Astyanax mexicanus: one gene and its partner. The protein of the gene in region 1 interacts with the protein of each later gene in a pairwise test. Links are inferred from orthologs where the notes say so. Each region holds a gene or a part of one and is shown on either strand. Other genes may lie near its edges. The genes, in order: poli and rev1.

Evidence for each region.
Region 2: the proteins of poli (region 1) and rev1 interact in a two-hybrid assay, tested with the Homo sapiens proteins (2 studies listed by BioGRID). The link is inferred for Astyanax mexicanus from reciprocal best matches to the Homo sapiens genes POLI and REV1.

Annotation. Positions count from the first base shown.
Region 1 is NC_064429.1:10,972,070-10,989,005, forward strand, and holds the start of poli (DNA polymerase iota), read left to right. Parts: upstream 1-7,981; 5' UTR 7,982-8,038; intron 8,039-8,044; exon of another isoform or gene 8,045-8,115; 5' UTR 8,116-8,118; coding exon 8,119-8,173; intron 8,174-8,963; coding exon 8,964-9,080; intron 9,081-9,271; coding exon 9,272-9,436; intron 9,437-10,308; coding exon 10,309-10,452; intron 10,453-11,154; coding exon 11,155-11,391; intron 11,392-15,050; coding exon 15,051-15,229; intron 15,230-15,768; coding exon 15,769-15,860; intron 15,861-16,273; coding exon 16,274-16,407; intron 16,408-16,936. Other genes in the region: pgam5 (serine/threonine-protein phosphatase PGAM5, mitochondrial), read right to left, coding at 2,783-2,933, 4,506-4,639, 5,118-5,206, 5,839-5,964, 6,082-6,254, 6,928-7,157. UniProt on the Homo sapiens protein: Error-prone DNA polymerase specifically involved in DNA repair. Plays an important role in translesion synthesis, where the normal high-fidelity DNA polymerases cannot proceed and DNA synthesis stalls. Favors Hoogsteen base-pairing in the active site.
Region 2 is NC_064418.1:24,899,560-24,916,260, reverse strand, and holds the start of rev1 (DNA repair protein REV1), read left to right. Parts: upstream 1-8,601; 5' UTR 8,602-8,879; intron 8,880-12,984; 5' UTR 12,985-12,994; coding exon 12,995-13,051; intron 13,052-14,092; coding exon 14,093-14,225; intron 14,226-15,750; coding exon 15,751-15,919; intron 15,920-16,701. UniProt on the Homo sapiens protein: Deoxycytidyl transferase involved in DNA repair. Transfers a dCMP residue from dCTP to the 3'-end of a DNA primer in a template-dependent reaction.

The DNA of each region.
Region 1 (16,936 bases):
AGTCCTGTGGTACACATCTGCAGGAAGGCCTTAAGAAGGAGGAAGCACTTAGATAAGGAGCCTCCTTCCCCTCCCGAAAAGAAGAAGGCCCTCGTAGAGTTTCCTTCCGATTATAAAGAGGAGCTCATACCCCAGCAAATCCACTGGAGTGAGCTGTATGTAATACCCGGCCAGCCCATTCCCACGCCTCCCCACCTGCCCATCAAACTGGAATGTGCCCATCAAACTGGCATATGCCTTCCCTCTGAAGAATCAGGAGGAGGGGAGGAGGAGGATTACCAGGAGGAGACAGAGGATAGCGGGGAGGAGACGGAGTATTATGGGGAGGAGACAGAGGATAGCGGGGAGGAGACGGAGTATTACGGGGAGGAGACAGAGGATAGCGGGGAGGAGACGGAGTATTACGGGGAGGAGACAGAGGATAGCGGGGAGGAGACGGAGTATTATGGTAGTGGGGAGGAGGAGGAGATTGTAAAAAGGGGGGTGAAGAGGAAAAGAAAACTATGCGATGAGTAGGAATGAAGGGGTAGGAGCAGTGGCGTGCAGTTCTCCATCAGCAGCTGGAGTCAGAGAGAGAAAGAGAGGGAGTACAGTAGGTCATGCTGTTCCTCCATCAGCGGACGAGGCGTGTGCTAGTCTTCACCCTTCTGATGTTTGGGGCATTACTAGTGATGGGAGGAGTCCTAATACCTTGGTGCGATAAAAAAGACCTAGAGAATTAGAGAGGAATGAAAATAAAGTGCACATTATCTTCTAACCTGCTTCTGCTTGTCTTCCTTACACTCATGACTGAGTGTGTTTGTTTAGCAAAGGTTTACCATTCATTACTCTGAAGGTAGAACTTGTTTGTATTAAAAATAACACTGCACAATAAGACAAAGTAGCGCAAAATAAAATGGGTTTAAATAAATAATAATAATAAAAAAAAATTATATATATATATGTATACACGATTTAATGCAATAAAGGAAAATCACGCCATTCCACAAAAAAGCAATAAAGGAAGTGCCATTCCATAAAAACGTTCGATGACGTCATCAAGCGGTCTTATAAATAGAGAGGCTGCGGGTCTGTTGCACCTGTTACAATATGATTTCATTCCTGAAGCGTATTTTTAAAAAACAGAGGACATCGAACCAGAACCAGCAGCAGGGGGACAGCGGCGCCTCCCCCGAGCCTGGAACCAGTCCTGTGGTACTGGAGATATTTCCTTCCGATTATGAAGAGGAGCTCATGCCCCAGCAAATCCACTGGAGTGAGCTGTATGTAATACCCAGCCAGCCCATTCCCACGCCTCCCCACCTGCCCATCAAACTGGACTGTCAGTGTAAAGAAAGAGGAGGAGATATGTTGAGAGAAAAGAACGAGAGGCTTAGAACTAGAAAGCCCCTCTATCCCACACCTTTTTCACATAAAGACGAAGAAGACGAATACGAAATAGAATAGAAATCAAATAAATTCCCAAAACAGCAATAATAATAAACAAAATAAAACATTAAAACACACACACACATATATATATAAAGTTTTGTTTTGTTATTAACGATGAGGGCGCGTCTTGACTCATGAGGCAGTAAGAGGCCGTTTCGGATGTAGTAGTAGCAATGCTGGCACGCTGCGAACCGGCGCACAGTGGGCGGGGCTAAACTGAATTGGCACGTGTGGGCGGCCGGGGCTTGTCGCTCGAAGACCTCATAGGCAGTGGGGGGGGCCCCTGACACTCTATAAATATAGGCTGCTGAGTCCTGTTGCGCCAGAAGATGTTTTCACAAATTTGGAGATGGTTGTTTGGAGAGGAGGCCGACCCTTCTGCTCCCGAGGAGAAAGAGGAGGTGGAGGTGGAGGAGGAGGAGAAGAAGGATCTCGAGTCGGAGATGGATTATTTCTGGACGGAGGAGGATTATTACGTGGTGGTATCGGATTTTTTCGAGGAGGAGGAGGAGGAGAAGAAGGCGGAGAAGGAGGAGGAGAAGGAGGAGGAGAAGGCGGAGGAGGAGGCAGAGAAGAAGGAGGAGAAGAAGAACGCGGAGAAGAAGGAGGAGAAGAAGAAGGTGGAGAAGGAGGAGAAGGAGGTGGAGAAGGAGGAGAAGGAGATTATAAGAAAGGGGATAAAAAGGAAAAGAGAACTATTGGATGAATAGAAACGCTGTTTGTTGGTTCTTCCTGCGGTGGGTTCAGGGGATGAAGCTCATTCAGATCCAGGTTCTGTTTTATTTAAAGTTCTTCATGAACACAGACCCAGGAGCACAAACATCGCCAAAGAAACATGAATAACAGACCCACAGAAATATAACAAAAAGCAAATTTATTTTCAAGACACTTAAGGAGAAGCTGTTAAAGCGATAGTTCAGTACTCCATCAAATTTACACTTTACTCCACTCATCCTCTGTTCAATCCATCTATTCAGTAAACCAGGAGATATGATGAGGAGTTTGATGTTCTGTGATCTTTAGTTGATTAGTTTTACACTGGAACGAGAAAGCTAATGTAGCTAACATAGTCTCCAAGCTAATGTACACCAATTAGCGTGGAGGCTTGTTTATGTTGTTTCTGACACACTCATCTCTGAAATACATGCTAACATGCTAACTGGTGTACATACGTTTTCATCACTTAGCTACATTAGCAATACTAGCTTTATAGCTTTATAGTTACATAAGCAAAACAAGACATGTCTTTGCTGATGAACTACATCTGGAGGAATACATCTATATATGTATATAAACTTGAGTGTTCTGATCTATCGCTTTAATCAGAGCCGCTGTGCTGGAGTTTGGTGGATCAGGTCCGGGTGAGTTTGTCCGGAGGCATGAAGCCGGAGTCCCCCAGCGCTCTCAGAGCCACCCGGCCGCTCGGACGGATCGTCAACCACGTGATGCTTCCGTTATTCAGACCCATCCGCAACCAGCCCTCAGGGGGGAACTGCAGAGCTCTGTTCAGAATTAATATAATAATAATAATAATCAATGTTCAACATATCACTTTTTTATTTACAAAATAATATATACACACTACCGGTCAAAAGATTCAGAACATCCCTATCGTTTAGCCAGTCTATTATCAGTGCTGTAAGACAAGCTGCTTTTAAAATATTTTATCTTTATCTTATCAGTGACTATTACTGCAGTTCTTCTCCTGTCAGATTAATTCTAATTCTTCTCTTCTCTGCTGAAACTGAGACTCAGTCCTTAATCATGTTAATCTGAGCTAAAAGCTTAAGCTGCTGTTTCCATGTGGATCAGCCAGACGTCTTCCTGTAGCAGTTTTTTTATCCAGTTTCCAAGAGTCTTTATTTGAAGGTGTAGGAAACAGTACTCTGTACCGCTCTCTGACTTCATCTGTAATTTCTCAAAAGAAAAGAAAGAACTTCTACTTTTAATAGTAACAGAGTTCTCTGTGTTTTATCTGTGTTTTTCCAGTTATTATGATGATGAAAGTGTGAATATGTTGTGTGTAAGTGTGTAAATGCTGCAGTAAGCTGTCAATATACTTTTTTTAATAATACTAAAATGACAGTTTATTTGTTTACACTGGATTCTGTACCATGTTTAGTTATTTACTGGATCTGAAGGTCCTAAATGGCAAAAATAAGGGAACAATTGGGGGCGTTCCAAAACTTTTGACCGGTAATGTTAATGTACAAAAAGTATTAAATCTTAAAGTAATTAAGTCTTTATGGCAAAACCAAAGATATAAATGCATTAATACAATTTACTACATCAGATTTATCCACCTTATTCTGCCACGCCTACTTTCAAGAGTTAGTTTCTTTTGCATATTAAATGGTTTATAGTTGAGTATTACCTGACTGTAGCTTGCTACTAACCCTGGCTAGCACTGCTGGAACAGCATTAGCATTGGCCACAAACTACTAGCTTTTTAGCCTAGCGATTAGCGACGAAAGCTCCAGCCTTAGTGCTGGAGGAAACTGGAAATCTAAGCTTACTGCAAATAAACGAAAGTGCTTTACTCAACCAAATAAACAGTTTTTAAGAGAGAAATCTGTGTAGATTATCATCCAGCGCTCATTAAAATGTTTTCGTTTACTTAGATTAGCGTAGTATCTTTACTTATTTTTAGTAAAGCTAAGCTAATCTACCTATCTATCTACCTACCCCTATTCCTTACTTGTGTCGCGTAATGAGCCTTATAATCTATTGTGCCTTATAGTGCGAAAAATACAGTAAACAAATCTGGCCCCTCCTTTTCATCGCGCAGAATAAGATGGATAATGTATTTGTCTGTAAACGTCTTTATTTTTTCTATATCATTTCTCTCGCACACAAACACAAAAACACACTTGGATTAAGTTTATATTTTAAATCCAAGCATTTAAAATATAACTATGTTAATACAGCTGCTGCAGAGCTTGGTAATATTGTTTGGTGAATTTAGAATAATTCAGTAATACACCAGAGCTTTGCAGTCTGTATGAAAGCCATACCGTCAGCGCTAACAGTGTGAACGAACACACAGCTGTGAAAAGACACACACACACACACACCTGCACACAAAATAGCGGATGACGTTAGCGTGACAGACGATGATCTCGTAGCTGTCCTCCTTCTGTTTGGGGTCAGCTCGGTGGATGTAGCGCCGGAAAGCTGCCTCGATGCGCGCGCCGTCCTCATGGTACTGCTAAAAGCGGCACAGAGGATCACACACAGTGGCACGTATAACACCCACACACACACACACACACACACACACATACACACACATACACACACATACATACACACACATACACACACATATACACACATACACACAAAGTCGCTCTAAAGCTTGCACTGTTCTAACCAACAATTAAAAATCAAACTTGTCTCAGTATAAATATCTGTGTACTGTTTTAATCAGGTATAAATGTATAAGCATTAGCTTATAAAATCAGCAGCATCAGCATAAACCACAAGTGCACTTTCAACAATTGCTAACTTCAATTTAGAGGCTGGTCTTGAATTAGTGGATATAAGTAGATATAACTGGGTTCCAGTAAAATTTTCAAGATCTGAGTTGAAATAGAAAGCAGACTAACTGATGCATCTTCAGACCCACACTAAGTGTGTGGCACAGGTGTGATACAGGTGTGGTAAAGGTGTGTAGTAGCACTGACCACAGCCTCTGGTTTCCAGTGAGTGACGGGTGGGACGGGCTCTATGGGTGCACCCTCTCTCAGCAAATCACAGCTCACCATCTCCACACCTGCAACACAAAGTAATGAATTACTACACTCAGTATTTCAGTATTATTACACTGTAATAGTACTTTTTACAACATAAAAACACCAGTTACTATTACATCACACTTTCAAGTATTCAGCCATTCTCACAATTGATATGAAGGGCTGGTACAACAACAGTATTTTTTCTGGACGATGCATTGGTTTAGAAATTATTGTAAAGGTTAATAAAGGTTGTTGTCATTTTAAAGGACTGATTTTAAGATTTTCTGCCACTGCAATAATAACAAATATGTATAATTATTATCAGCATAATTATATAGATGCAGTATATTCCCTTTTAAAGAGCAACACGTTACCTGATTAATCGGTTCTCCTCGATAAGTAAAATTGTTTACTGTTGTGTTCATATATTGTACAATAGATCAATAACGTAACTGTCACATGCCTACTGATGTGACAAAAGAGCTCTGTTCCGAGGGAAAATACATTGTGGCCAATCAGAGCACAGCCCATGGTGAAACACTTATTATTATTTAAGTGTGAGTGGGTGGGGTTAACGTGCACTATGTGAACAGGTGGAGATATGTGAATGTACTATTTTTGTGACATCACAGAAACATTTTTCTAGGTAAGAAACCTTTAAGTATCTCACCTGGCAGGTATCTGCTGATGATGCTGGCCGTCTCGGTGGCTCTGGCCATTGAGGAGTGTATCATCACGTCGTACTTCAGCCCTAAATCTGCCAGCCTCTGTCCCAGAAGCTCAGCCTGCTCACGGCCTGTAACACACACACACACACAAATTTAATAAATAAAATAAAATATAATATAATATATTATAATAAATACTATATAAATAATAATATATATAATAAGTGGCCAGTGGTTGGGTGTACCCAGTGGAGTGAGTGTTCTCTCCCGGTCTCCGTTTCCGTTCAGGTTGTACTGGGAGTGGCGGATGAGGAAGATGTGGCGGGTGGCTCTGGGTTTGTTGTTCTCCACCTCAGTGCTGTTCTCCTCCCCACTGCTCTCCTTCCTCCTGGGGCTCATCATCGTGGACGGGTCCCTCCTACAGACCGAGAGAAAAGCACGATAAAGCAGAGTCCCTTCCCCTGTGGTGGAGTTTATGTGTTTGTATTTTCATTCATGTGTTTTGGTCAGTTTTGGTAACTACATTTATTTTGAAGAAGGCCAGCTTGAATAAAATCGGATCAGCCCGGGCTGTTTGGGAGTAAACCAGAGCTGTGTGGGGTAAACCAGTGACAAGTAAACCTGTGCTTTGACGGGTAAACTAGTGGTGGGTAAAGCTGTGCTTTGACGGGTAAAGCTGTGCTGTGCCGGGGCTAACCTGTGCTGTGACAGGTAAACCAGCGGTGAGTAAACCTGTGCTCTGACGGGTCGTGTAAACCTGCGCTGTGACGGGTCAGGTAAACCTGCGCTGTGACGGGTCTGGTAAACCTGCGCTGTGACGGGTCAGGTAAACCTGCGCTGTGACGGGTCAGGTAAACCTGCGCTGTGACGGGTCAGGTAAACCTGCGCTGTGACGGGTCTGGTAAACCTGCGCTGTGACGGGTCGTGTAAACCTGTGCTGTGACGGGTCAGGTAAACCTGCGCTGTGACGGGTCAGGTAAACCTGCGCTGTGACGGGTCAGGTAAACCTGTGCTGTGACGGGTCAGGTAAACCTGTGCTGTGACGGGTCGTGTAAACCTGTGCTGTGACGGGTGAATCAGTGCCGGGTTACCTGTCCCAGTTGCTGTCCCAGCCGGAGCCGGAGCTGTAGACCGGCAGGCCCGCGGGCTGTGTGGCGGGGTGAGCGGCGTGCAGCGCGCTGAGAGCGGCTGTGATCGGCGCTTTACTCCGCCAGCTCTCTCCGCGGTCCTCCCCCAAATAACCCCTCCATTCCGCCCACACCACCACCGCCGAGCCGCCAGCCAGGCCGCACACCAGCCCCGCGGCCCTGCGGAAAGCCATGCCAGAGAGCGAGTAGAGTCCGGGAGAAAGTACCGGGAAACGCCGCCGAGTCCGGAGCTACAACACCAGCCGCTCAAACCTGCATGATAAAAGCTCCAACTGCTGCTCCAAACTTATAGATAAATATCACATATAATATCCTAAACTACAAAAATATTATATTTACTGTTTTACAACAAAACAAGAAAAGTTATACAATGAAAATCATTAAAAACACGCTTTATTTCAGCTAATAACGAACTACACACACAGCTACTAACCAGCCAGCTAACGTTAACAGATTAACCAAAATGGCAGACGGGTCGACAAAATAAAAGTCTTCACCAAAGCTAACCAAATAGATTAGATCTTTCATTTAATATAGTCAAACAGAAACTTTTTTCAAACATTTTTTTTTTCAATTTTTAATATTTTACATTTTCTGCCCTTCACAAACAGAATTTCAGGAAAGAAAAAAATAATTTAATAAAATATTTTTTCTTTACCCGATTTTTTTTTCTTGTAACAAAAACTCATAAAGACGTTATAACCCAACCCTACTTTTGTTACAAGACAAAAAAATAACCAAATTACCACCATTTTGCCCTAAAAGATAGTTGTTTCAAAACTATCACGAATAATATTAAGGGAATTAAAGGAAAGAAAGGAAAAATAATTTAAATTTTTGTACTCAATTAAATAATGAGGTATTACACACCTTTTTAATTTAGAATTTATCCTGAAAAAATGCAAATGATAAACATTACACCTCATTTTCTTTTATCTAGTTTTATCTCGTTATTAATTTAATGTAACTGTATTTTTTGTCTGTATGTGGTGAGGTAGTTGTGAGGCTCCGGGCCGGTAGGGGTCAGTGCGGCTAAGCTGCAGCGGCTCCGCAGGTAAACTCGAGTTTATAGAGGAGATCTGTGTTTTTATTCTCTTTAGTTTACCGTTTCTTTTCTCCCTGTAAAATCAGGTGATGGACTCAGGTGAGGAGGAGGAGGAGGAGCCTGGCTGGGCAGTGATGGAGACAGGTATGAATTCTGACTCTCTGATTTTTTCTTTTTAAAGAGCTCTAAACCAAAAACACACTGCAGTAACAGAGCTGCAGCTACAGTCAAACAGCAGATCAGCAGGGTTACGTGGTACAGGTGTTGGTTACTAAGGTGTTTTTGTGTTTTATGGTAATATGTTTGTTTAAATTAAGTTTCAACATGTAATTACTGGTAAATGGTAGAATGCAAATATATTTGGCTTTTAAAATTGTCTCCACAAACATTTGGCTAAATGTTGAAGTCCTAAATCATTCAGCTAAATGTTATAGTTCAAAAACGTTTGACTAAATACTGGAGTGCAAAAACATTTAGCTCTAAAGGTTGACGTCGTAAAACGTTGGGGAGTCCACAAGTCTTTGGCTAAATATTAAAGTACAAAGAATTTGGCACAAGCATTAAAAAACAGAATCATTAGGCTAAACGGTGGAGTCCATAAACACTGGGCTAAATAGAGGAGTCCAAAAAAATAAAACATTTGGTCAAATGGTGGCGAGGTCTAATCAAATATAATTAGGTTAAATGGAAGAGTTCAATAACATTTGGTTAAATATAAGAGTCAAATAACATTTGGCTAAACATTAAAGCCTTAGTCCAAAACATTTGGCTATTTGGTGCAATGCATATATATTTGGTTAAGAAAAATGTGTCCAAAACATTTGGCTAAATGGTGGAATGCAAATACATGTGGCTAATAGAGCTGTGTCTACAAACCTTTGGCTGAAATATGGGGTGTCAGTTTTTTGCCCAAAAGATGTTGTTCTGGTTTCAGGTGTTGTGGGCGGAGCTGTGGAGGACAGTCAGAGGGTCATCCTTCACTTTGACCTGGACTGTTTCTACGCTCAGGTGGAGATGATCAGAAACCCCGCCCTTCGGTCCAAACCTCTAGGTGCTGAAAGCTTCTGTATACCTGTAAAAATACTGTATCGGTTTAGTGCGTTTAATCATTAGTTTAGTTGTAAAGATTGTAGTTTGTGTGGTGTTGGACCCGACCCTGCCGGGGAAAGTGTCGGGAAATCAGGCTCGGCTCGGCCTCAAGCAGAAAATATAAACTCTTCTAATCTCAACCTCTCGTTTCAGGAGTTCAGCAGAAGTACATCATCGTGACGTGTAACTACGTGGCGAGGGAGCGCGGCGTGACGAAGCTGATGGGAGTGAAGGAGGCGCTGGAGAAATGTCCTGATCTGGTTCTGGTGAAGGGAGAGGACCTCACACACTACAGAGACATCTCCTACAAGGTCACAGGTACAGCAGATCCAGCCCTGTTCTCTACTGGTATACTGTACAGTACTGTTTAATATTCCAACAATCGTAGAATAAACTCTTTTAACCCTCCTTATGTGTTTATTTGTCAGGAACATCAATGGTTTTCCCGGGTAATTAATTACTAACTCCATTACTAATTATACTATCAATATTTACTGCAATGATGTTCCTTATTTCTAACAGGTAATGCTTCAGTTTGATTAATTCACTTGTTTTTACATAAAGAAGTTTAATCCTTAAATACTTTTGAAAGACCAACATATAATAAAACACCATAGTTTTACATTTAACATAAAAAAATAACATTGCAATTTTGTTTAGTTTTAGTTTTTGCAGAGGGTGGTTGCAAATTTATGAGATGAACCATTTTCATATCATACGTTAATTACTTTAATGAAGGCAAGCTGAAGAAGTTTCATACTGAAAAAATACTTTTAACTAGTTTTCCTAGATCCTTAAACCTTTAAAACGGGTCAATTTGACCCAGAACAGAACAGGAGGGTTAATACCGTAAATTTCAGAATTAACAATAAATGAGCAGCCGTCCCGTTACTTATGTCCATATGCTGTGTGTGTGATGTATTTAATGAGCTCCAGAGGAGCAGAAGGTTGAGGTGATGATAAGTGATGATGGGTAATGATGGGTAATGATGGGTGATGTTTCTGTAGAGTATGTTGGTTTGTATGAACTGTTATAATCACTACTCTGGCTGAGCATCCACTTTCGCCCGGTCACTGTGCGCCCTTGTGGATGCAGCGGAGCACAGATGCTGAGGAGGTGTTAGACAGTTCTCCAGAAAGAGATATTTAAGCATAAATCCTGAGATCTCTGATTTTGTGTTTGTGTTCAGAGCTGCTGATGTCGTTCTGCCCCCTGGTGGAGCGCCTGGGCTTTGATGAGAACTTTGTGGACGTCTCAGAGATGGTGGAGACCAGGATGAAGGACACGAGTATCTCAGATCTCTCGTTCGTGGGTCACGTCTACGGACACGAGGGTAAAGCCATGCACCCAATCACACAACACTAATCATCAGAACTCACACCACCCAAATACAGTAGGCCTGAACGTACATACCATATTGTATCGTATGTGATAATATCATGACATTGTGATATTTTTGAAAGCATATATACAGGCACTAAATATACTGCACTTAAGTTTTGAGGTAAATTAAATTTTTTTTTCTTGTATTTTTTATTTTATACAAAATCAGAGTTTTGTTAATTTACTGTTAATGAAATAGACAAACGTTTTTAGGCATTTTTGTTTTTACTAAATGTGTAAAACTGTTATATATATTGCAGTACTATATTCTCAATATGAATATGAAATGAAAAACAAAATAAGCCCACCCCTAGTCACCTCTCAACAGCAATGTTATTTTATTCTTTATTTTGTTTATTGTGGATGTAAGCTAGATTAGCGCTGAAGCACGTTTTATTTTGTTTAACAAGTGGAGGTGTACACGAGCGAGTGCAACGTCCATGATAGGATTAGCCGGCTGACTATTGACTATTGTCAGGGTTTAATCAGTCAGTGGCGCACCTGTATTTCCTGCCACCAAGATAGAGACACACCGGATATTTACCAGAATACACCTCACCTCCAGACCACCACGCCCATCAGTTTAGATATATACCTAATCTCTGATGGATGTACGATAGGGCCCAATATCTGTAATGTTGTGTGTCTGCAGCCTCGTCCGTGGGGGTGGGAGATCACTCCAGGCTGGCGGTGGGATCGGCGATCGCGGCTGAACTGCGGGAGGCGCTGAGGAGCAGGCTGGGGTTGACCAGCTGCGCCGGCGTCGCCACCAGCAAACTCCTGGCCAAGCTGGTCTCCGGAGCCTTCAAACCCAACCAGCAGACCACGCTCCTCCCCCAGAGCAGCGCAGAGCTGATGAACAGCCTGAGCGGACCCTGCAAAGTACCTGGTAAACACAAAGTACAGCTCTGGAAAAAACAATAAGAGATCACTTGAAATTGATGAGTTTCTTTGATTTCACCAAATTAAAGAGGAAGATGGATGATCACAAACCATCAAACCACCAAACTGAACTGCTTGAATTTTTTAACCAGGAGTAAAGCAGCATAAAATTATCCAAAAGCAGTGTGTAAGACTGGTGGAGCAAATAAATGCTATAAATGACAATAGTTTTATTTGGAATTTGGGAGAAATGTCTGTAGTTTGTTGTTTTATTCTATAATGTTCATTTTAGTCAAACATAAACCTATAAATATCAATATCAGAGAAACTGATTCAGAAACTGAAGTGCTCTCTTAATTTTTTCCAGAGCTGTATATATAGCAGTGGGGGTAATGATGGTGACCGGCAGTTTCTGGCTAGAAATGTCCATGTGAACAACAAAAAACATCAGTTTCTTCATCCACATTTAATGCAGGAGACTCCGCCCACATATCCCACAGCTCAGCGCTCAGTGTTCTTTAGCTTCTATGGGACACGCCACGAGGGAGTTATTCTATTATTACTGTGTAATTATACACTGATACGCCAAATGTCATGGGACAGAAGCTAGCATTACATCCCATGACATTTGGCGTTTCAGTGTATAATTACACAGTAATAATAGAATAACTCCCTATTCATCAAGAACACACTGTCTTGCCACTTTGTGCATTCACTCACTGGCCACTTTATTAGAAACACCTACTCTAAAGTTTGAAGCTGATGAGATTATTGAAATATACGCTAAAATACGAAACAGTTGCAAAAATTGTTGGAAAATAAAATCCTTATTTTTATAAAAGTTGTCACCAGAGGAAAGCATTAAGGTAACACAGTGGATCAACACCAGCAGATGACAGACATGTCTCTCCAAACCATCACTGATTGGTGGAAACTTCACACTAGACCTCGAGCACTTTGGACTGTGTGTCTCTCCACTCTTCCTCCAGACTGTGATCCCTTGATTTCCTTTAAATGAAATGTAAAATTTACTGATGATCAGTGATGGTTTGATGCATTGGCGTAGGAACCGGGGGGGGATAGGTGGGACATGTCCCACCCAATATTAGAAACAGGTGGATTTGTCTCCCCCAAAAATGACATCTTTTCGCTCAGACCAGCTGTACTATTAATGAGGAGACAGACCGGACCAATCACGAAGCCGGAGAAGCAGTTTGCTGTTGGGAAGCCCCTCCCCCTCGCTGTGAGATTTAGCAGAGGGATCGAGCTGCAGCAGCTTCAGCTGATTTTAAATCAGATCTGGATATACGGAGATTTTACTAAAAGAAAGGTAACGGTAGGCTAACCACTTCAACTGTGATGATCTGTTTCTGATAGCTGGTTAAAAATACACGTATCTGAATCAGCACACAGATTAAACCCACTGTGATTAATAAACTGCAGTTGTGTTAGTGAGTTAGCTTAACTTTGGAATTAGATAGATTGGGAGTCAGGGTTAAAGAAAAAAATAAACTATAAATGTAATGTTCAACTTGCCCTGTACCTGATCAGCTAATTACTGTTTCATTTTCAATTAATTTAGTATTACAGGGCTTACTGTGAGCTATAATGAACGAAAATACATTTAGCTAACTAGTTATCTAGAAGCTAGATGTAGTGGATAGACAGAATGTAGTACAGTACTTTATGTTTGTAGTTTAAAGCAGTTTCCTAACCCTGATCACTGCCCCAAAACTGTGTTTTCCACCTGATCAGCTAATAAACAGTCATTTACTGAGTTTACCTGTTAAAATACTTTAGCCCCCTATAGAGCCTAAATTAATCATGTATATCCAGCAGTGTATTAGACACATTATACCACCACTTACTTTATTAAATGCCTTTAAAGCAGAGGAAGCCATAGAATATGCAGAACAGTGTTAATATTCAGTAGAATATGTAAGAGCAGGGTTGAGAAACACTGCTGTAACGTGACTTCTGTTCATTTGTAGTTCACAGTAAGACCACATGTCCTGATGTTTATAAAAATCTCTATGAAACGTAAAGTTACATTCTTTTACATAAAAGGACACCATCTTAAGAAGAGCTCTCAGTTAAAAAAAAAATAAATGTGCGGCATAAAATGTAAATATACAACAGAATTGACATAATAATAATAATAATAATAATAATAAACAAATCTGTTATATTATTTTAAAATATTAGGTGATAACTGAACATTTTGTCATATGTATATAATTCAGTCATTGCATGCAGTAACTGTAACGTGGAGTTACATGTTTAAGTTGTAAAATCACCTTATAATAATAATTTACTTTTAATTAAAAGTAATTTCCACAAATGTTGTTCTAGGAAACTATAGGGTGGGCCTGGGTTCATATTGGCAAATGTGTCCCTCCCAATATCAAGCCCGCTCCTACGCCCTTGGTTTGATGGAGAGTCATGTCTGTCATCTGCTGGTGTTGATCCACTGTGTTTTATTATCAAGTCTAAAGTCAGTGCAGTTTTGATTTTCCACAAAATCTTACAGCACTTCATGCTTCTCTCTGCTGCTGAAAACTTTTATGGAGATGTGGATTTCATTTTCCAGCAGGATTTGGCACACTGCCCACACTGCCAAAAGTACCAACTGGTCTTGTATAAAATTCTAATTTTCTGAGACACTGATTTTTGGGTTTTCATTGGCTGTAAGCTATAATCATAAACAATAAAAGAAATAAACACTTAAAATAGATCACTCTGTGTGTATTACATCTATATAATATATGAGTTTATATAACATTTTCAACTGAATTACTGAAATAAATTCAATTTCCAATGATATTGTAAATTTTATTTTATTTTATTTTTTAGATATTTAATTTTCTGCTCATATTTATTTAAATTCTCTGTTTTTAACCAGACTTCTGGTCTGCAACCTGATCCACTCCACCCTCTGCTTTATTTGAAACACAAATGAGTATAAATGATATTCATTTCTCACTGTTATAAGCTGCATGCTGTCTGCCATTCAAATCATTTGATATCACTGTCATCTGATCCAGCATCACCTGATCATCTCACCTCTCTATCAGATCCGATCTCCTCCTCACCTGCACCTACCTGACCCAGCACAACCGTGCAGGTGCACTAGTGTGAGCTTTTTGGAAAAAAAAGGTTTCCAATAAAGTGGCCACAGTGAGTGGAAGCACAAAGTAGAGTAGATGTTTTTAATAAAGGGGCCACACTGAGTGGAAGCACATATTAAGAGAAGGTGATTCCAATAAAGTGGCCACAATGAGTGGAAGCACATGATAGAGTTGGTGTTTCTAATAAAGAGGCCACAATGAGTGGAAGCATATAGTAAGCGCAGGTGTTTCTAATAAAGTGGCCACAGTGAGTGGAACACATAGTAAGGGTAGGTGTTTCCAATAAAGTGGCCACAGTGAGTAGAAGCACATAGGAGAGTAGGTGTTTTCAATAAAGTGGCCACACTGAGTGGAGCACATAGTAAGAGAAGGTGTTTCTAATAAAGTGGCCACACTGAGTGGAAGCACATATTAAGTTTATGTGTTTCTAATAAAGTGGCCACAGTGAGTGGAAGCAGATAGTAAGAGAAGGTGTTTCTAATAAAGTGGCCAGTGTATTGTATATTGTATTTACTGTAGTTTTGTGTGGTGGCTACAGGGATTGGCTACAGGACGGTGGAGAAGCTGAAGGTTCTGGGCGTGGTCAGTGTGAGGGATCTGCAGCTGTTTCCTCTGAGGGATTTGATCCGTGAGTTTGGTGAAGTGAACGGCAGGCGGATACAGAACCTTGCATGCGGCGTTGACCTTTCACCTGTGACTCCTGCAGGACCTCCACAGGTAACACCAGCTCTGGACATCAGCATGTCTTATAGTGATTAAGGTCCTGTTTCACTGTTTTTGTCGCTTTGGAGCGAAAGATAATAGTAATAAATACAGTGAAAAAAATATGCGAGGTGCTTGTCAATGGTCTCAAGGTAGCTGATGGCCAGGAGGTTGAAGACTAAGGGTAAAGTCAGACTCCGCCTCTTTTTGAACTTCTTTTGCCGAGCTAACGCTCGAAGGAAAGCGCAGCGACTCTGGTCTGATACATCAGCTCACAGATGCAGCCTTGTGCTGATCCACATCACCCTAGGAGTGATGAGGGGAAAGAGAGAGCGCCATCTACTGTACTGTACCCACCCAGAGAGAGCAAGACCAATTGTGCTCTCACAGGGCTCCGGCAGCTGATGGCAAGCTGCATGACTGAGATTTGAACCAGCGTTTTCTCGATCATAGTGGCAGCATTTAGCCTGCTGGACCACTTAAGTATTATATTTATCTTTATCAATCTAATCAGCCCAAAACCAGATTTTGACTGGGTTTTGACTGGGTTTCAGTCTCTGAGTGATGAAGACTCCTTTAAGAAGATCTCCACAGTGAGGGAGGTGCAGAGTAAAGTGACTGAACTGCTGAACAGCCTGTGTGAGAGGTGAGTGAACAGCCCAATAGAATGGGTTAAAGGTGGGTATAGCTATTCACTCATATCAGCACAGTGTGGATTAGAGGTGTATAAAGCTCAGTATTGTTCTGTATTACTGTGGATTTTATTTTAATCTAATTTTGCAAATTCAGATACTGCTGTTTTTAGCTTTTCCTCTGTATGTAAAACCCCTCTGTTCTGTGTGTGATGCTTATATAACATATCAGCCCACTCTTACACTCATTTGCATAAAGCTGAACTTGGTTGATCTTTTCTCTAGTAGAAAGTGTTTTCTGGACAGTGGAAGCAGGAGAAACAGTTTTTAATCCCCTTAATTTTAGAATTAACAGTGAGTGAGTGGCTCTCTCGCACAGTTAAGGTTGTTTGTATAAATGTGTGTGTGTGTGTGTGTGTGTGTGTAGGATGTGTAAGGATGGCCGGTTGCCGCAGACTGTGAGACTGACGCTCAGACGAGCCTCAGCTCCGAGCCGCTGGTTCAGCCGAGAGAGCCGACAGTGTCCCATACCCAAACACACCGCCCAGAAGATCATAACCGGTACACACACACACACTCTAGTGCTGCAGTTAATGATTATTAATATTAGTAATCAATTACTTTTGCTTACTGTTAATAGAAAAGAATCACACATGCCAGATTCATTTAAAATAAAGACTGAAAGACCTTTTAATGGACTGTATGGCCCCTATTTTAGTGATCATGCACCATACAGCTTGATTAAGGGTGCATCAGTGTGTCTTTGCTATCATAACGACAGGAAAAGTTCACCTTGCGCAGCTCGAAACGCAAAGCAAAAGTCATGTACTAATTCTCCTAATTAATCATGGGTGTGGTTAATTTTGGGCGTAATGTGAAATAAACCAATCAGAGTGTCTCTTGCTCATCATTCCCTTTAAAAATCAGGTGAGCTCTGACTTTGGCAGATTGCTATTTTAATGGTGCAGCTACATGAACGCTCGGCTCGGTGTGTCTATGTTTTCAAGGTATTATTTCTGAGGACATGTTACATATATAATATATCAGTTAAAAACATAACTAATTAATTGTTAGTTGTGCATCCCTACAT
Region 2 (16,701 bases), on another chromosome or scaffold:
ACAAGATGGCGCTGTGGAGGTGGCAACCTGTTGCAGCAGGTCCTGTTTTTTTTTTTTGTTTTTTTCTGACTTTCTCCCTCATTTTAAGTACTTTCTGTTAGCAAAGTGTTGCTAGATTTTGTATTGATTATATTCTATATACTGAACTGTTTCTTTTATCTGAGTGCCTTGCTATCCCTATGATGCTGTAATACTGTGAATTTCCCCACTGAGGAACTAATAAAGGCTTACCTTGCCTTACCTTACCTTACAGAAAATGCAATCAAAGCTAAAGGCGGTCCAAGAAATATTAGGGTGCATGACCTTTTTTTCGGTGCTGACTTTTTTTTAGCCAGGCAGTGTTTATTCAGGATATTAATTTTTGCTCATTGTATAACAATACTGTCTATTGCAAGTAAACACCCCTACTGTTTACTTGCATGGTAGCATGATGACAAAAAACTGACACTAAATGAACCAATTGAAGCAGATTTAGCTAATGCATCATTGTGAAGCGCTTCTGTAATGTTTTTCTGTAATATGGATTGTCTCTTTAGATTAAATGTGCTTTCTTTTTACATTTAAAGTGCTGTCTTACTCTAAATATCAGCTGAGTCTGTAAATTCCTGTATAAAACTGCATCATGGTGCATGTCATTAGCTGTTTGCTAGTGTAGATGTTCTGATGCTCACTGCACAGATTTAAGTGATGTAGTCCTGAGTGAGAGAGCTGTTACTTTAGTACTAATGTTTACTTCCTTTTTGAAGCACATTAGTTTTTTTTTTACCAATATGTAAATTTGAGTTAGGAAAGTAAGCTAGATTAATAACGTTATTGCTGATTGCATATTTAGACTGAATATCATGCTAAACCAATAGAAAACCAATTTCTCATTTCAACATTATTTCTAACAATGATAATTTGCTGAATGTATTTCATATTGCTTGTTCAAAACAAATAGAATTATAATTAAACAGATTAATTTTCTGTTTCATTATTTTTACTTTGTGAGCATTTTGATTTCGTTTTGAATTCCTCTTTTGCAAGTTGTGGAACATTTTAATATGTCAGAATTTATTCATTCTGCAGGGTTCATTTTAATTGCATTTAGCAACAACCTAATATAAAGGCAATAGTCCATGATTCTAGGACAAAACAGCTGTAAGTATCAGTTCACCAAAATCACAACAGAAATCTGTGATTAATCACACTTTATTGTTCTTAAGACTAAGCTTTTAATAATGAGTATTTAAATGAAAAAGCAGGGTTAGATTGGCAAAATCTATTTATATTATTAGTGTCTATTACTTATATTTTTGCATTACACAAGAATATTCTGTGATTAAATAATGATTAAAATTATTATTAATTTAATTAATATTAAATGCTGGTATTTCGCTGTATTTTGTGTTGTCATGTATGCCATGCCTTTCAGACTTTCATCATTTAAAAATGGCAATATATTTATCACCACAATATTCTGTGATTTAATCATTATTTTTTATTATTTCTTTAGTTTTTTTTTGCTGATATGTTCCTGTCTTTTTGGGAGGGTGACAAAAAATTGTGAAGTGAGGTATGACTTTCATGACATTACATTACATTATATTGTATTTACTGGACACCAAAGGGTTGTTGTGATGTTTTTACATTAGAATATTTTGATGTGCTAAGTTACTGCATGTATCTGAGAGCAACTGTGGAGGAAAAGCTAGCGTAGCTTTATATTCCACTTCAACAACTTGAAAATAGAAAACTTGCAGTTAGATTCGCTAATACATCACCAGGCTCTGGAAACATTAGTAATTCGCATAAAAATTAAACATTAAAAAAATTTAAAAAAGTTTCCAAATGAATGGCATGCATTGCCAGTCCTAGTTTAAAGCTGCTTATGAATAGCTAATTTGCTTTCTTACAGATATTTTTTGGGGATATTTTCAAAAAATATTTTTTGCCTGCCATTCACATGAGAACAATGTTTTTCGTCATATTTACAGACTCATAACACATGTACGGCTTTTTTATTCAATTTAATTCTAGAGTACACTTCTTAGTTCTCTTCTTCAACATGTGTTTTGATGTAATTTTTTAGGAGGTACAATCCCTCTTTACTGGGCTGGCAATTTACTGCCGTTTTGAGTGGTATTGTGTTTCTGTGCTGGTGTGGATAAAGATATTTTTTTGAATGCAAAAAAAAAAAACATTTGTATTTAAAAATATATATTTTTAATGTGCACAGGGCCTTAGATTAATCTACTCAACTCTGGGAGCACTTTGATTGAATATTCTCTCCTCAAACTACTCACTGCTACTTAAGTAATAGAGGTAATAAAATGTAATGTAATTGTACTGCTGACTGACATGTCTTTGTGACAGTGCACAGAGACAAGCCAGAGACAAAAAAGAAAGCCTCAGAACATGACAAAGGGGTCAGGGCAGGCAGATATAACAGAGGCAAAATAATCAGGTCCCAGAACTATGCAAGAGGTCAGAAATCAAAAAGACTAACAACACTCAGACTAAACAACACAGACACACAAAATAGACAGTGAGAAGTACTTGAGCTGTTGCTGTATCTTGTCATGATGGGTCTCAGGTGAGAAGCCAAGCTACTAAAGCACATGGCTGGTGCAATCCCCACTTATGCCAGCAGAGGGAGACATAACACTGGCCATGCATAGTCTAATTCAGAGGTTCTCAATCTGTGGTATGGGTACCACTGGTGGTACTCAAAGCATCCCAAGATGGTACACTGCATGACCTCATAAAAAATCTGCTTGCATTAAAATATTTATTACTGGAATCTATAAAGTTTTCACCTGTTATTTCCATAAGATTACATTTGTTTGTGTTTAGTGCTTTACCTATTTTTTTACCCTAACAACCACCATATTTTTCGCACTATAAGGCGAATCGGATTATAAGGTGCAGGGGAGGGATGTGGTAAAGCTAAGCTTAGTAAACAAAACTGTACTTCTTAAAAAAAAAATCTTTTAAATTCAAAGGAGCACTGAATGTTAATCTACACACATTTCTCTCCTTTAAAAAAATGCCACGGTTAGCGCTACTAAATGCCACCTGACAGTGCTACACTGAGGAACCATGAGTGTTCCGGTAAGCAATATTAGCTAGCAGTTCATTCCACATAGTTTGTTTTAACACGGTAAACGTGCAGGGTACAGTCTGATATACTTGCCTCTGAACAGCAAAACATCTAGTGCTTAGCGTGGTTAGCAGCTAATGCTAATGCTGCTCCAGCAGTGCTAGTCAGGGTTAGCAGCAGTCTACAGGCTGATATACTCGCCTCTGAACAGAAAAAGATCTAGTGTTTAGCGTGGTTAGCAGCTAATGCTAATGCTGCTCCAGCAGTGCTAACCGGGGTCAGCAGCAGGCTACAGACCGATATACTCGCCTCTGAACAGCAAAAGATCTTGTGCTTAGCACAGTGAGCAAACAATGCTAATGCTGCTCCAGCAGTGCTAGCCGGGGTTATTAGCAGGTTTTAGGCTGATATACTCCCCTCTGAACAGCAAAAGATGTAGTGCTTAGCACAGTTAGCAAGTAATGCTAATGCTGCTCCACCAGTGCTAGACGGGGTTATTAGCAGGCTTTAGGCCGATATGCTCCCCTCTGAACAGCAAAAGGTGTAGTGCTTAGCACGGTTAGCAAACAATGCTAACACTGCTCCAGCAGTGCTCGCGAGGGTTATCAACAGGCTACAGGCCGTTGTACTCGCCTTTGAACTGTAAAAGACCTAGTGCTTAGTATGGTTAGTGGCTAATGCTAATGCTGCTTCAGCAGTGCTAGCAGGGGTTAGCAGCAGACTACAGTCTGATATACCGGCCTCTGAACAGCAAAGGATCTAGTGCTTAGCGTGGTTAATGGCTAATGCTAATGTTGCTCTAGCAGTGCTAGCCGGGGTTATCAGCAGGCTACAGGTCAATATACTTGCCTCTGAACAGCAAAAAATCTAGTGCTTAGCGTGGTTAGCAGGTAATGTTAATGCTGCTCTAGTAGTGCTCACCAGGGTTATCAACAGGCTACAGGCCAATATACTTGCCTTTGAACTACAAAAGATCTAATGCATAGTATGGTTAACGGCTAATGCTAATGCTGCTCCAGCAGTGCTAGCAGGGGTTAGCAGCAGGTTACAGTTCAATATACTCGCCTCTAAACAGCAAAGGACCCAGCTAACGCTAATACTGCTTCAGTAGTGCTAGCTAGGATTAATAGCAGGCTACAGGTCAATATACTCGCCCCTGAACAGCAAAAAATCTAGTGCTTAGCGTGGTTAGCGGCTAATGCTAATGCTGCTCCAGTAATGCTAGCCGGGGTTATCAGCAGGCTACAGGCCGATAAAACTGACCTCTGACCGGTGAAAGAGCTAGTGCTAGCCGGGGTTATCAGCAGGCTACAGGCCGATATACTTGCCTCTGAACAGCAAAGATCTAGTGCTTGGCGTGGTTAGTGGCTAATGCTAATGCTGCTCCAATAGTGCTAGCCGGTGTTAATAGCAGGCTACAGTTCAATATACTCGCCTCTGGACAGCAAAAAATCTAGTGAAAGCATGTTAAAAAAAATAATGTGTGGCAAGGACTGACGAGTAGGAATGAGAAGACAATACTGCATATGTATACTGTATACTGTCTGTATACTGCATATGCCATGTCTCACTGCAAGAGACTCCAAAATACTGCCATAGTTCATTCCAAGATAAAAATAATCGACACCACCTGCTGCATTAGCAAAGCCACCAGCATTGTGGATGACCACACCTATCCCTCACACTCTCTTCATTCTGATGCTGTCTGGCAGAAAATAACAGAGCATCCGAGCCTCCACTACCAGATTCTGCAACAGCTTCTTCCACCAGGCGGTCTGACTCCTCAACACACAGAAATGGAACTGAGCTTGGCTCATGTTGAACCATGGTGCTGGAGGAAAGTAATTTCATTGCACTGTGTTCTTGTACAGTTTATTCCAAATTAAACTCATCTCATTGTGCTTCCACTGGTACAGAGGTCAGTCCTAATCCAGCCTATCCACATCATCAGTGCTTTTACTACTACGAGTGCCCTTATAGATGTATATGTTGAAATCTGGGGGGGATGCTCCCGTAGGAGAATTTCTTAAAACAGCCTAAAATTGTGTTTGTAGAGGTTACTCAAGAAAATAAACTCTAGGAAAGACCTGTTTATCACTTTCTACTGCTGCAGGGTTTGGAGCATCAGGTTAGTGTACCAGATGTTCACGGGTGGTTGACATGACATGGCCTTATTTTCATTCAGTGTGTCAAATATATGTAAATTATAGAAGAATATGTCAAAAACTGTGATAATATTGTTCAGAAAGTGCTGTGCAAACCAGAAAACGCTCACATAATAAACCAGATGTCTACTTATGAGTCTGCTTTGCTAAAAGTTTGGGCATAATATTTTAGAGCCCCCATTAGCAAAAACATTTTGTCCCAAAAATAAAAGTCATATGGTGATGCCATACTCCTTTTTTTAAACGGGCTATTGTTTGGACACCTTAAGAGAGTGGGGGTTCTCCTTCTCTCAGGATGAAGAACAACACCTCAGAAGGACACTAAAGTTACAGGATGTGTTATCGCTCTTTATGTTTTCAGAAAAATCAAGTATATCTAGCACTCCTGCTTCAGTTCCATTTTGCACTGTCATATGTTGTGACACATTTTACACAAAAATGCCAAATAAATTACTTTTCAGTCAATATTACCTTTAAAACTATATTGTCATTATTGTAGTTAGCATGGTTTTATGATGCTAGCATAAAGACACATTGCTTAAACTCATGCTAAGTACATGAAACGTCATATGATTTAACACATCATACGGTGTGACAGGGTTTTCTTATCACACCATATAACAATTTTGTCACACTATAAGATATAAACTGAATTTAAATACATAAATAATGCTATTAGATACATATGTTATAGCTAATAGTTAAGTGTTTTAAATATTTTATTAGTTTAACACATTTTTATAGTATATTATTCACAAATGTAATATTTAAACAGCAACACTCACTCATTCATGCAGATTCACTGACTTACTCAGACTTCTGAATGCAAAAGAAAAAGTTTAATCTTACCCAATTGCAGTCCACTGTATCATAAACCTATGGTTCTTCTGTTTGTTTCTTTAAGTAGAAGCCAAATGTGTCACAATGTTTAGTGGCACACTGATTTTAGCAATACATCCACAGCCATTTGCGGCCCGTTTTCTTTTTTTGGAGCGGCCCGCGAGGTATTTTAGAAATAGAATGAAAGTTGGCCCGCTATTAAGCAGGTTTTTATAATGTGAGATTCAAAGTTTGAATGCTAGGTGTCAGGAACGGGCCAAAGAGTCTAAAAGCGGAGAGAGTGCACATTTCTAGCGCAGAAAAACGGGCCAAATAGTCTAAAAGCGGAGAGAGTGCGCATTTCTAGCGCAGAAAAACGGGGCAAAAGAGTCTAAAAGCGGAGAGGGTGTGCATTTCTAGCAGAAAATCGGGCCAAAGAGTCAAAAAGCGGAGAGGATGCACATTTCTAGCGCAGAAAAACGGGACAAAGAGTCTAAAAGTTGCCATCATTAAGGAGTTAAATATTAAGAGACATCATGAAATTAAACATCAATTTGAAAAATATTAATTTTCTCAACATTGTCAAAGATAAAGATAGTAAGTCAAGTAAAATGGTCTGTAAATGAAATAATCAGGAAAAAAGTATTATTTAAAGTGGTATATTTTATTATTTGTTTTATTACAGAGTTTACAAAGTTTGGACACCCCTGTCATAGGGTGTGACATTCAGGATTTTAAAGAAATTAAGGATTTTGGTTATTTATCATAAACTTTTTTATGTGACATATGAGGAATAGTGCCAGCAAAGGTTACAAGAATTTTGGCACTTTTATAATAAGGTATTCCCAAAATAATTTCAAGTATATTGAAAGATTTCGATGAAACGTCTTCCTATGTGTGTAGATAATAAAAAAAAAATGCAAAAGGTAACATATTTGCATGTAAGCAATGCTATACTTTTATATAGTAATGATAAAGAATCAGGATAAATTAACGTACATTATCATATTATACCCATTTTTACTAAGACTGTAAAGAGTGTAAAGACTGTAAATTTCAAGAAAAAAATTATAAGACCATATATAGATTTGGAAAGATAAGGGTTGGTACAATATAACCCAGTGATTTCCATGACTTAATTTTGAGATTTTTTTTTTCAGTCAAATTTATCAACCACCCACAAACTGTGAAGAAACACATCCAGCAACAAACTATTAACAGTGCCCAAAGAATCATCAACATCCAGCTGCAACCCTCTAGGGATATATAGCTCCTGCTAACATCCCAGAATCTCCACTATCAGCCATCAGTGAACCAACACACCAACAGGATGTAAAACACACAGAGGATGCAGTGGGATCTAATTAAGATCAGTGTTTATCAAACCACATGAAAGTAGACAAATTTAGAGTTAGTTCTGAGGTAAGAAACATGTGTGATGTGATTTTAAACATGTGATGTCAACAGATGATTATAATCTGAATTTGGTACAAAAGCAGTATCCATGAATAGCTCTTTGAGAAGGAAAGATGGGCAGAGTATCTCCACTTTGTAATAAATGCATCACAAATGTATTTAAATATCTTAAAACAATGTTTCATGAAGACTGAAAGGGATTTGCGTATTTCTTCCTCTAAAGTGCATATTATCATTAAGCTGTTCAAAGAAAATGAGAGAATGTGACATAAGCCTAAGCTAAACACCTATGATAGCTGATAGAACCACATGGCCAAAGGAACTATTTTGGCCAACTTTTTCCATCACTACAATACAGAGTTAATTAAAACTTTACTGTACAAAACAGAGGCCTTATGTTAACCACGTCCAGAGTTGTTTATTACTAGGACATGTATGAGACACTCATCAAGTGAGAAAATAAAACAGTACAGACATTACAGTAAAAACCAATAACTACACCTTTACAGTATATATATACCCTGTAGTCTGCTTTATTTAAACAATAACTTTAAAGATCATTCCAAAACAATTTGGAATAACAAGGTTTACACAATTAAACATCTAATTTCTGTTTTGAAACTTTTGTGCAAAATGAAAAGTTTTGTTGTGTAAATTTGGAAAAATATATAATTGCATTGGTAGATGTTATACTTTTTGTTTATTTGCACTTTTGACTTTATTATAAAGCCTTACATCTAAGGTAAAAAATTAAGCTGTATCAGACTGACAGCCTGTTGGGACTTCCAGCTGTACATGCACGGTGATAACACCGGGGGGCAGCACAGTGTTTGTGCTTTGCTTTGACAGTCACTCTAGGGCAGATCAACATTAACGTTAGGCATATAAGTCTCTATATAACTCTGTTATGTCTTATTGTGATTAGATCTGAATTTTAAATCTTTTTATGCTGTTTAATTTTTTAATTTATTTATTTAATCTGAAATCTGAAAGGTTTTTTTGTAAATATTCAGTTTAGCCACTGCGACAACAGTAATGTGGGCCACGGGCCGGCAGGTGGCGCTGTGAGGGCAGCGCAGGCCCGGAGAGTCTGACCTGGCGCGCAGGAGGCGGAGCTTCAATGGAAACAACGAGAGGAGGAGCCGGAGGAAGGAGAGGGGCTACAGAGAGCGCTGAACGGCGCCTGGCGATGGAAAGCGGAGATTATGAGGGGAGAGGGAATCTTCTGAAGCCCCGAAAACATGCTCTCGATATCCAAAGACCCGTGTCTGCGCGGCTGTTCCGTTAATACTGGGTTAAAACACTGTTGAACGGTTAAAGTGGACGCCTCGGCGGAGCCTGGGAAACAGCGGCGCGCTGCTTCGGAGTCGATTATCCGGTAGAAAAGGGGAGAATAGGTGAGCAGCAGTATTCGCTTTTCAGATGATTCAGAGCCCCTGACACGAACAGAGAGACAGCCCACAGTCCAAACACACACCTGGATAAGAGCCGCTGCGGTTTGTTTGTGTTTGTCTGTGTCGTAGCTGTGTTGTTATGTAACGGTTATGTGTCGTTGACTTCAGCTGCCTTTTCCTCCAGTCTTTCTGTTCTCTGGTCTGGTGTGTGAAAGTGTGCTGTGTGTTTACAGCGCTGTCTGACTGGAGATTAACTCGGTTTAATCTGAATACCACAGCACCAGCCCGCTCCAGCTCATTTAGAGAACAATTAACTCGCTAATCTAACCTAGCTAACCCAACATAACCTAAACGGCCCCTGTCTGATTTAGCTAACGTTAGCTGGCTATGTGAGCTAACAACTACACACAGCACTGTCTGTCCGCTAACCCAGCTCTCTCTATATATATTATCCAGTGTCACCCTTCGCTCTGGACATGTGTTTAAATATGACCGCCATCGTCAGTCCGCCCGGTAGTAGTAACCTTACTCAGTCCTGCAGGTCAGTAGTTGGCATGCCCAAGCTTGTCCTGGTGCAGCTCGAGTCAGGCATTAAACCAGTGTGACTGACATTATTTATATATATATATATTTATGTGTGTGTGTGTGTGTGTGTGTGTCCGGGTGGGCTGGACAATGAAACGTAGAGCTGAATTATGGTCCGCGTGTGACAGTTTGTTTATGTTCGGGAACTTGGACAGACTGCTGGTACACCTGCGACCCTGGTGACCCCTTAAGCATGTGCTGCTTTCAGTAAAGCAGTCAGTGCAGCCGAGCTGGGCAACGAGGATCAACAGGCCGATTTAAATAGTTACATGAGTACTGCATTAATGCAGATGTGGTTATTAAATTAGGTTTTTAATGGTTCTTAGTTTGCATTATTTGCATTTATAAAAATAGAATGATTGTGTACAATAAAATGTCAACAATTCATGATATTACATTTTTGTATCTCTCCTAGTTGGAAAAAAAATTATATTTACTTATTTTTTAACCCTTTATTGCTTATTATCATAGCTAATTTGTTTGTTTGTGTGCGGGAGTATAAGCTCTCAAAAAGTAGGGTAAAATATATGAAAGAAGAAAACTGGCAAGAATGACTGCAATGGAGGTCTGCACATACAAACATCTAAAATATTCGGAAAAATAAATATGCCAGCTCAGGTAATTTCATCATTCAAAGAACGTCAGTCAGAAACATAGGTTGTAAAATAATGTGTGTTGAAATGTCAGTGAAGTAAATATGTTTGTTATTGTCCAGTTCATGTCCAAATGTTATTTTGTATTACTCCAGGTCCAACTAAGATATTGTTGATATTTGGCTTGTGTTAATTTATAGTTTCCTAAAAGAGGTCTTTATTTGGTATCTTAAATGAAATTTACATACCTGAATTATAATTATTTTTTAATCAATGGTGGGTATAACACTAGGCGGCCAGTCACTAACAGCTTAGTACACTGCCAGGATCACAAAACCCAAGATTAAAAAATAAGATTCCAGAGTGCCTGGCTAGGGAATTAATTGAGAACCGACATTTAGATCCTCTAAGAAATGTAATAATTTTCCATGTATGGTTTTTATATTACTTATTTTAATACATTTTGTTAGTAATTATTGCTAAAATGTCTGTTAATGCTAATACACCCTAAACAGCTAAGCAAAGAAAAAAAAAAAGCTAAGAAAAATGCAATGGTGCATGAAATACATGAAAATATCCATTCATTATTTGTGTGTAAAATAATCAGTGAAAATGTTTGTTGGTTGTAAAATTCATTTGACATAATTTTGCCCAGAACTTGTGATTAGGCATCATTTTATTCATGGCACAACAAGATGTGTGGTCTGGACGGTAGGCAGACGTGTTGATACTGTGGCTGCTGACAAAGGAATTAAGTTTGCTAAGCCACTTTGAGGCTGAGGCAGTGTTTTAATGGAGATTGAAATGAGGTTAGGATCATTTATCACTGACATGAACATCTTCTGGATTCAGAATGCAGTTGTAATTGGTACCGTCTAGACATTTAAATACTTTCTCCTCTTGAGTCCAATAGATTTTGTTACTATTTTTTTTTTTTTACGTTTTTAATGTTGTGATCTTAATGTATCAGATGATTTGGGATGTTTCTTTCACATTAGCTATTTGTTTATATGTTTTATACGATTGAACTGTAGTTATTTTTTCAATTAACAAAGAGCCTGCCGAATTTTCTTACTTATGTTTTAAATGTAATTTCAGTAAAGTCAGATGCAGCAGTTGGGGTTATGTAGAGAGAGTCAGGGATGTGTAGTGGGACTGAACAGTGCTTTGTGCAGTGCAATGTGGTGGTTGTTGGGGTGTTACGTTCAATGAGGTGTGCAGCTATATTGGCAAAATGGGCTTGATGGCTGCTGTAAACAGAATTGATCTGATCTCAGGCCCTTTGCTGTAGTCCAGGGGTCTGCTTCTCGATTTTCTCTTTCACTCTGTTCATTAGATTTCACAGATGCTATTTAGGGCTAGTAGAGTAGTTTGATAAGGATATACTGTACATATTTGGCTTCATTAAAAGTGGAGCCATAAAACCCAATCCGCTACATAAACATTCAAGTCTCTATCTCACTATTTAGCATGGTGCCCAGTGCATACCTAAACCATCACAGAGGCAGCATTTTGGGTACAGATAAAATTTTGTTTATTGTTGTTGCTGGTATCAAAACCTTGATATCTTGCTTAAATCTGCTCTGGTGAGGAAACTGTGAAACCCAGCAGTTCACTGAGTGCTCCCAGCCTCAGTGTTTAACCTCCCACTCAAACGCAGCAAGTGTGCGAGGAAAGAGACAGACCCTGGGAGGGATGTTTGACTTTACTGAGGAGAGTATTTGACTGATGAGAACAGTAGCGTCTGCACCATGTCTGTGTGAGTCGGAGGCATGGAGATTCAGTCGATATGGATCCCTGTGGAGAGAGAGATGATGTGTGTTTCTGTGTGGCTGTCTGGTTCTGTATCTGTGCGACATGTGGCAGTGAGGACACTCGCAGCATAACAGAGCAGGCTGAACAGTGACATGCAAGAGAAAGGGGGTGGTTCCCTTCTAACAAAGCTCATTCAGCATCAGTGTGCTGTTAATAAGCTGCCAGCAGAGGTGTTAAACTCCCCTGCATTTTTGGATGGAGCATTCCATACCATCGAGGGAAGAAGATAAGAGTCTACAGTAGAATTAGAGAGGCATTTTTCTGTCTGATAGCTTGCCTGCCTGCCTGCCTGCCTGCCTGTCTGTCTGTCTGTCTTATTTCTAAACTAGGATTTAGTTCTGCCAGTATACACAGATCAGTCATAACATTAGCACCACCTGCTTCATATTGTCTAAAAATCCCTTGTACCACCACAACAGATCTCACCCTTAGCAGTTTTTCTGCTTTTTACACATCACACTCAAGAACTGACTCTTCATTTGTTGCCTAATGTTTCCAGAAATTGATGACTAGGATATATTTCTGATTGTAATATGTTGCTTACCCTAAATAATCTAAGCTTAGGTGGCAGCATTGTGTTAATGTTCTGCCATGATCATTATGTTATTGTACAGTTTATAGACAAGACCCCATTTATATTTTGTGCCTTTGTATGGGGCCTTTGTGAAAAAACATTGTTTTTATTTTATGTATGCTTTATTTATTGGATATTTCAAAATTAAAAAGTGTGCAGTTGCTTTATTAGGCTATTATGTTTGCATTATATAAGTGACATTAAAATTACAATAATATTATTTTCCTTAGTTACTTCTGGGACAGTGTATCATCCAAACAAAAAAGTTCCAAGGTTACATTTACCTACATCTGGAACATAAATTATCAATTATACCGCCACATAATGAAAATGTACGAAATCATAGTTGTATCTTATTTCATTTAAACATATTACTTTTGCATAAAAGTATTTTTAGTAGGTGTAGTTGAACAGATGCATAGATTGATACGATAATGTCAGGACACACATATTTAATGAGGGGAAAACACATTGGTGTAATTGTGGTACCATACAGCTTCAGGGTACCAGCCTAAATCTGGCATCTTTTCTTCTTTCTCAGGTTCCTCAGCATGAGTCGAGATGGATGGAGGAAGAAAGCTAGTGAAGATGATGGCTGGGGAGGACGGGTAAGATCACTGCATTCCAAAAATGTGCCTTAATGTTTGTTCCAGTTAATTTTAGGTGTGGAGGGGCGTGTTATGAGTTGTTGGAGTTGTCTAGACATTTTCATGTGTATTCTAATGGTGAGTAAACTCAAAAGTAAAGCCTTCACCCTACACAAGTACACAAGTTTGTCTTGAGATGTTACTGTACATGTATTTGCAGTATTTTAGTTTTCTGGCTAAAGCATTGCTGCAGCTGCTTATATATTCTAAGTTTTTTTTAATTGAATATGTTCCACCTTGCAAGCAGCTTTATATTAAATGTGGTACAAATATAACCTTCAGATATATTATAAAAGTCACTGCTACATAAGAGTTTTTTTTTTTATACAGTTTTTTGACAGAAGCACAAGCCTGTCTGCTGTTAGACTTGGCATCAGGGTTAAGAGATGCCCCTGTTTAAAAATTTACAATGTACCCCTTTTTGAAATTAGCGTTAAACAGTAATTTAAATAAACCAAATTAATTGTCAATGAAAATCGCTCAGCACTAGTATGTGGTCTGTATGGAAGGCCTGGATTTTCCAGATATGCATTTCCAGAGTGTATTTTGAGACTTTAATTAAATTTATGTCTTTGAATGTCTGACTGGCTTAATTAGGTCTGAAGGAATTTTGGGATTTTGGGATGGAGGTACTGTAGCTGCAGAGGACCGGTGTGCTGGGTTTTTCCCTCTTTTGTCTGTTTATTGGTTTAGACTCAACTCCTGAATCCCAGCGTTCTGTCCGTTGCCATGGAGACAGAGTCGCTGTGCCAGCAGGCTCACACCTCCAGTCTCATTGAATGTCTGCAGCGTAATCAGACGCTTGTCAGCCAGACACTGCCCAGCTCTTTCTTTGTGCGTGTCTCTGTGTTTCTACCAGCTATTCTCAGCAACTCAGGCTTGCCCTTCCATTTCTAAACTTGGAAGTATGAATGAGTTTCGATTACTGTTTACAAAATCTATCTTGTCTGTTTATTGTCTTCCTGTAAATGAATGGATGGATGGATGGATGATTGGATACAGGGAGGCTACATGGCTGCTAAGGTTTCTAAGCTGCAGGAGCAGTTTCAGAAGGATGCTCCCAGAGAAAAACAAAATCGGGGAGCCTCATCCAGCATCTTCAGTGGAGTGGCTATCTATGTTAATGGATACACAGGTCAGAGGGACGTCTTTATTTTTGAACATACTTGCATAGTCTTGAATAGGCCTGTCACTATAATTATGTTATGGACTTACTGTACAAAAGATATACAGTGCCCTCCAAAAGTATTGGAACAGTAAGGTCAAAACCTTTGTTTCTGCTGTAGATTGACATGAATTTGACTTTAAAATATTTATATGAGACAAAATATCATCATTTCAGTTTTTATTTTGAGGTATTTACATCTGGATCTGATACTCAGTTCAGAATATAGCAACTTTTGTCTGAACCCACCCGTTTGTCTTGTGAGCAAAAGTATTGGAACATGTGACTGTCAGGTGTGTTTTGTTGCCCAGATGTGTCCTGATACATTAATTATTCAAACAATAAACTCTCAGTTTCAGATTTGCAAAAGCTAAATATAAAGTCTTATTCACTTTAATTTACTTTAAGTTAATCTGTTCCAATACTTTTGCTCACAAGAACAATGAGTGGGTTTAGACAGAAGGTGCTATCCTCTGAACTGTGTATCAGAGCCAGATATAATAACTGGAAATAAAAAGTGAAATGTTGATCTATTGTCTTATATATCTTTTGATGTCATTTTCATGTATTTGTAATATAATGTATTTTCAGTTTACAGCAGAAATGGGATCGGCCTCACTGTTTCATTACTTTTGGAGTGCACTGTACATCACCTCAATCATTTTTGCCCACCTTGAAATCGCCGATTGTGGTTTTCTTCTGTTTGTTTTACGAATAAACTTTGCCAATATTTTGCATGTTGCATAATGACCAATTCATTAAGAACAGCATTGCTATACACAGTTTTGACAGCAGCAAGCGAAGACATATTTATGCACAGTACCAGTCAAAGGTGTGGACACATTCTCATTAATATTTGTTTTTTATTTGTATTATAAGATTGTAGATTAATATTTAAGACTTAAAAACTATAAAGGAATACATGCAAACACCTGTCCATAAAAAACCCAAAGCAGGGGAGTTGATAAGAGTTGGAACGCAGAGTGAAGAAAAGCAGTTAACAAGTGTTCAACACATCTAGGAACTCCTTTAAGACAATTGGAGAACCATTCCAGGTTCTATTCTTTTGACAGAAAGAATAGAGCCAAGTGTGGGTAAAGTTGGCATCAAAGCAGGAGGTGCTAATCGGAAGAATCTAAAATATAAAACAGATTTTGGCTTCATAATTAAATGTGTTACTTCATAGTTTGTATGTTTTCAATATTAATATACTATGTAGAAAATAATAAAAAAAATAAAGACAAAAAACAATTTGGGAAAGGGTATGTCCAAACTTTTTACTGATACTTGACAGGCCTTGTCTTGCACATACAGTCTGTGGGGAATATTTTTCAGTTTGAATTTTCATAAAATTTCTTTCTTTTGTTTTTGTTGTTTATGCATTATTACAATTGTATGTAAGTTTCTACTTGTACTGTTATTATGCTTGCAAAAGTCTGGTTTGAGAACAGTGTGATCTGGACTATGTGTCTGTCCTGTCCTGTGTTTTGATCAGACCCCAGTGCAGATGAGTTGCGCAGGCTAATGATGCTACATGGAGGACAGTTCCATCTGTATTATTCACGGTCCCAAACTACACACATCATTGCCACCAACCTGCCAAACAGCAAAATAAAGGAGCTAAAAGAGGAGAAAGTAGTACGGCCAGAATGGATTACTGACAGGTTTGTGTGTATGTGCTGGGGACACATAATGAGGTCAATAAGTAAACATGCTAATTGTTCAGTGCTTCAGTTTGCAACATATGAATTAGTGGTCTCTTAGCAAGTAGTGTAAATAATATTTGACAATTTATTAGCTTTCAGCATGGTGGGTTACCGTTGTTTAAGTAGTAAAAGGCTTTAGATTAACTGTTAAAATATGTCAGGTAGAGCAGCAGGCCTGTTTGCCACTGACTACCATGACTTTGAAAGTTGGAACATCTGAGTACATGCATCACTGGTGTTGATTTTCCTCATGATAAGACCCTGATAAATTTGAAAACTTTGAAAAATTCAAAATGTAATCTATATCTATGTTTATGTCATATGTCCCATTCTGTGATTTCTGCTTTTAAGGTATCCTTCTGCAACTTTTTCAAAACACTTTTCCTTGTTGTTTATGTAATACAGTAGGTCTTCCTGAAGTGTATATGCATGCTGCACATGAAACTGTTCCTAAAACCTCAATTGTCTGCAGTAGCAAGTAAAAAAACATTCAGAAAAACGAGTCGAGCAAGAAAAGCACCCATGTCAACTCTTAATTTAGTATTCATGGCCTCAACCACCTTGGCTTGCGACCACCCACAGGCAGTGCTGAAGCAAAGCAACAATGCAGCCTTTTTAGACAGGAGCGTTAGGAACAGTTCGTTCCTGTGTTGTTTGTGCAAATAACACATCAGTATTATATGCTTTGCCCAGTAATTCAGAGCTAGGGAACAAATAGTTAGTATTTGTCTTTGGAAAAC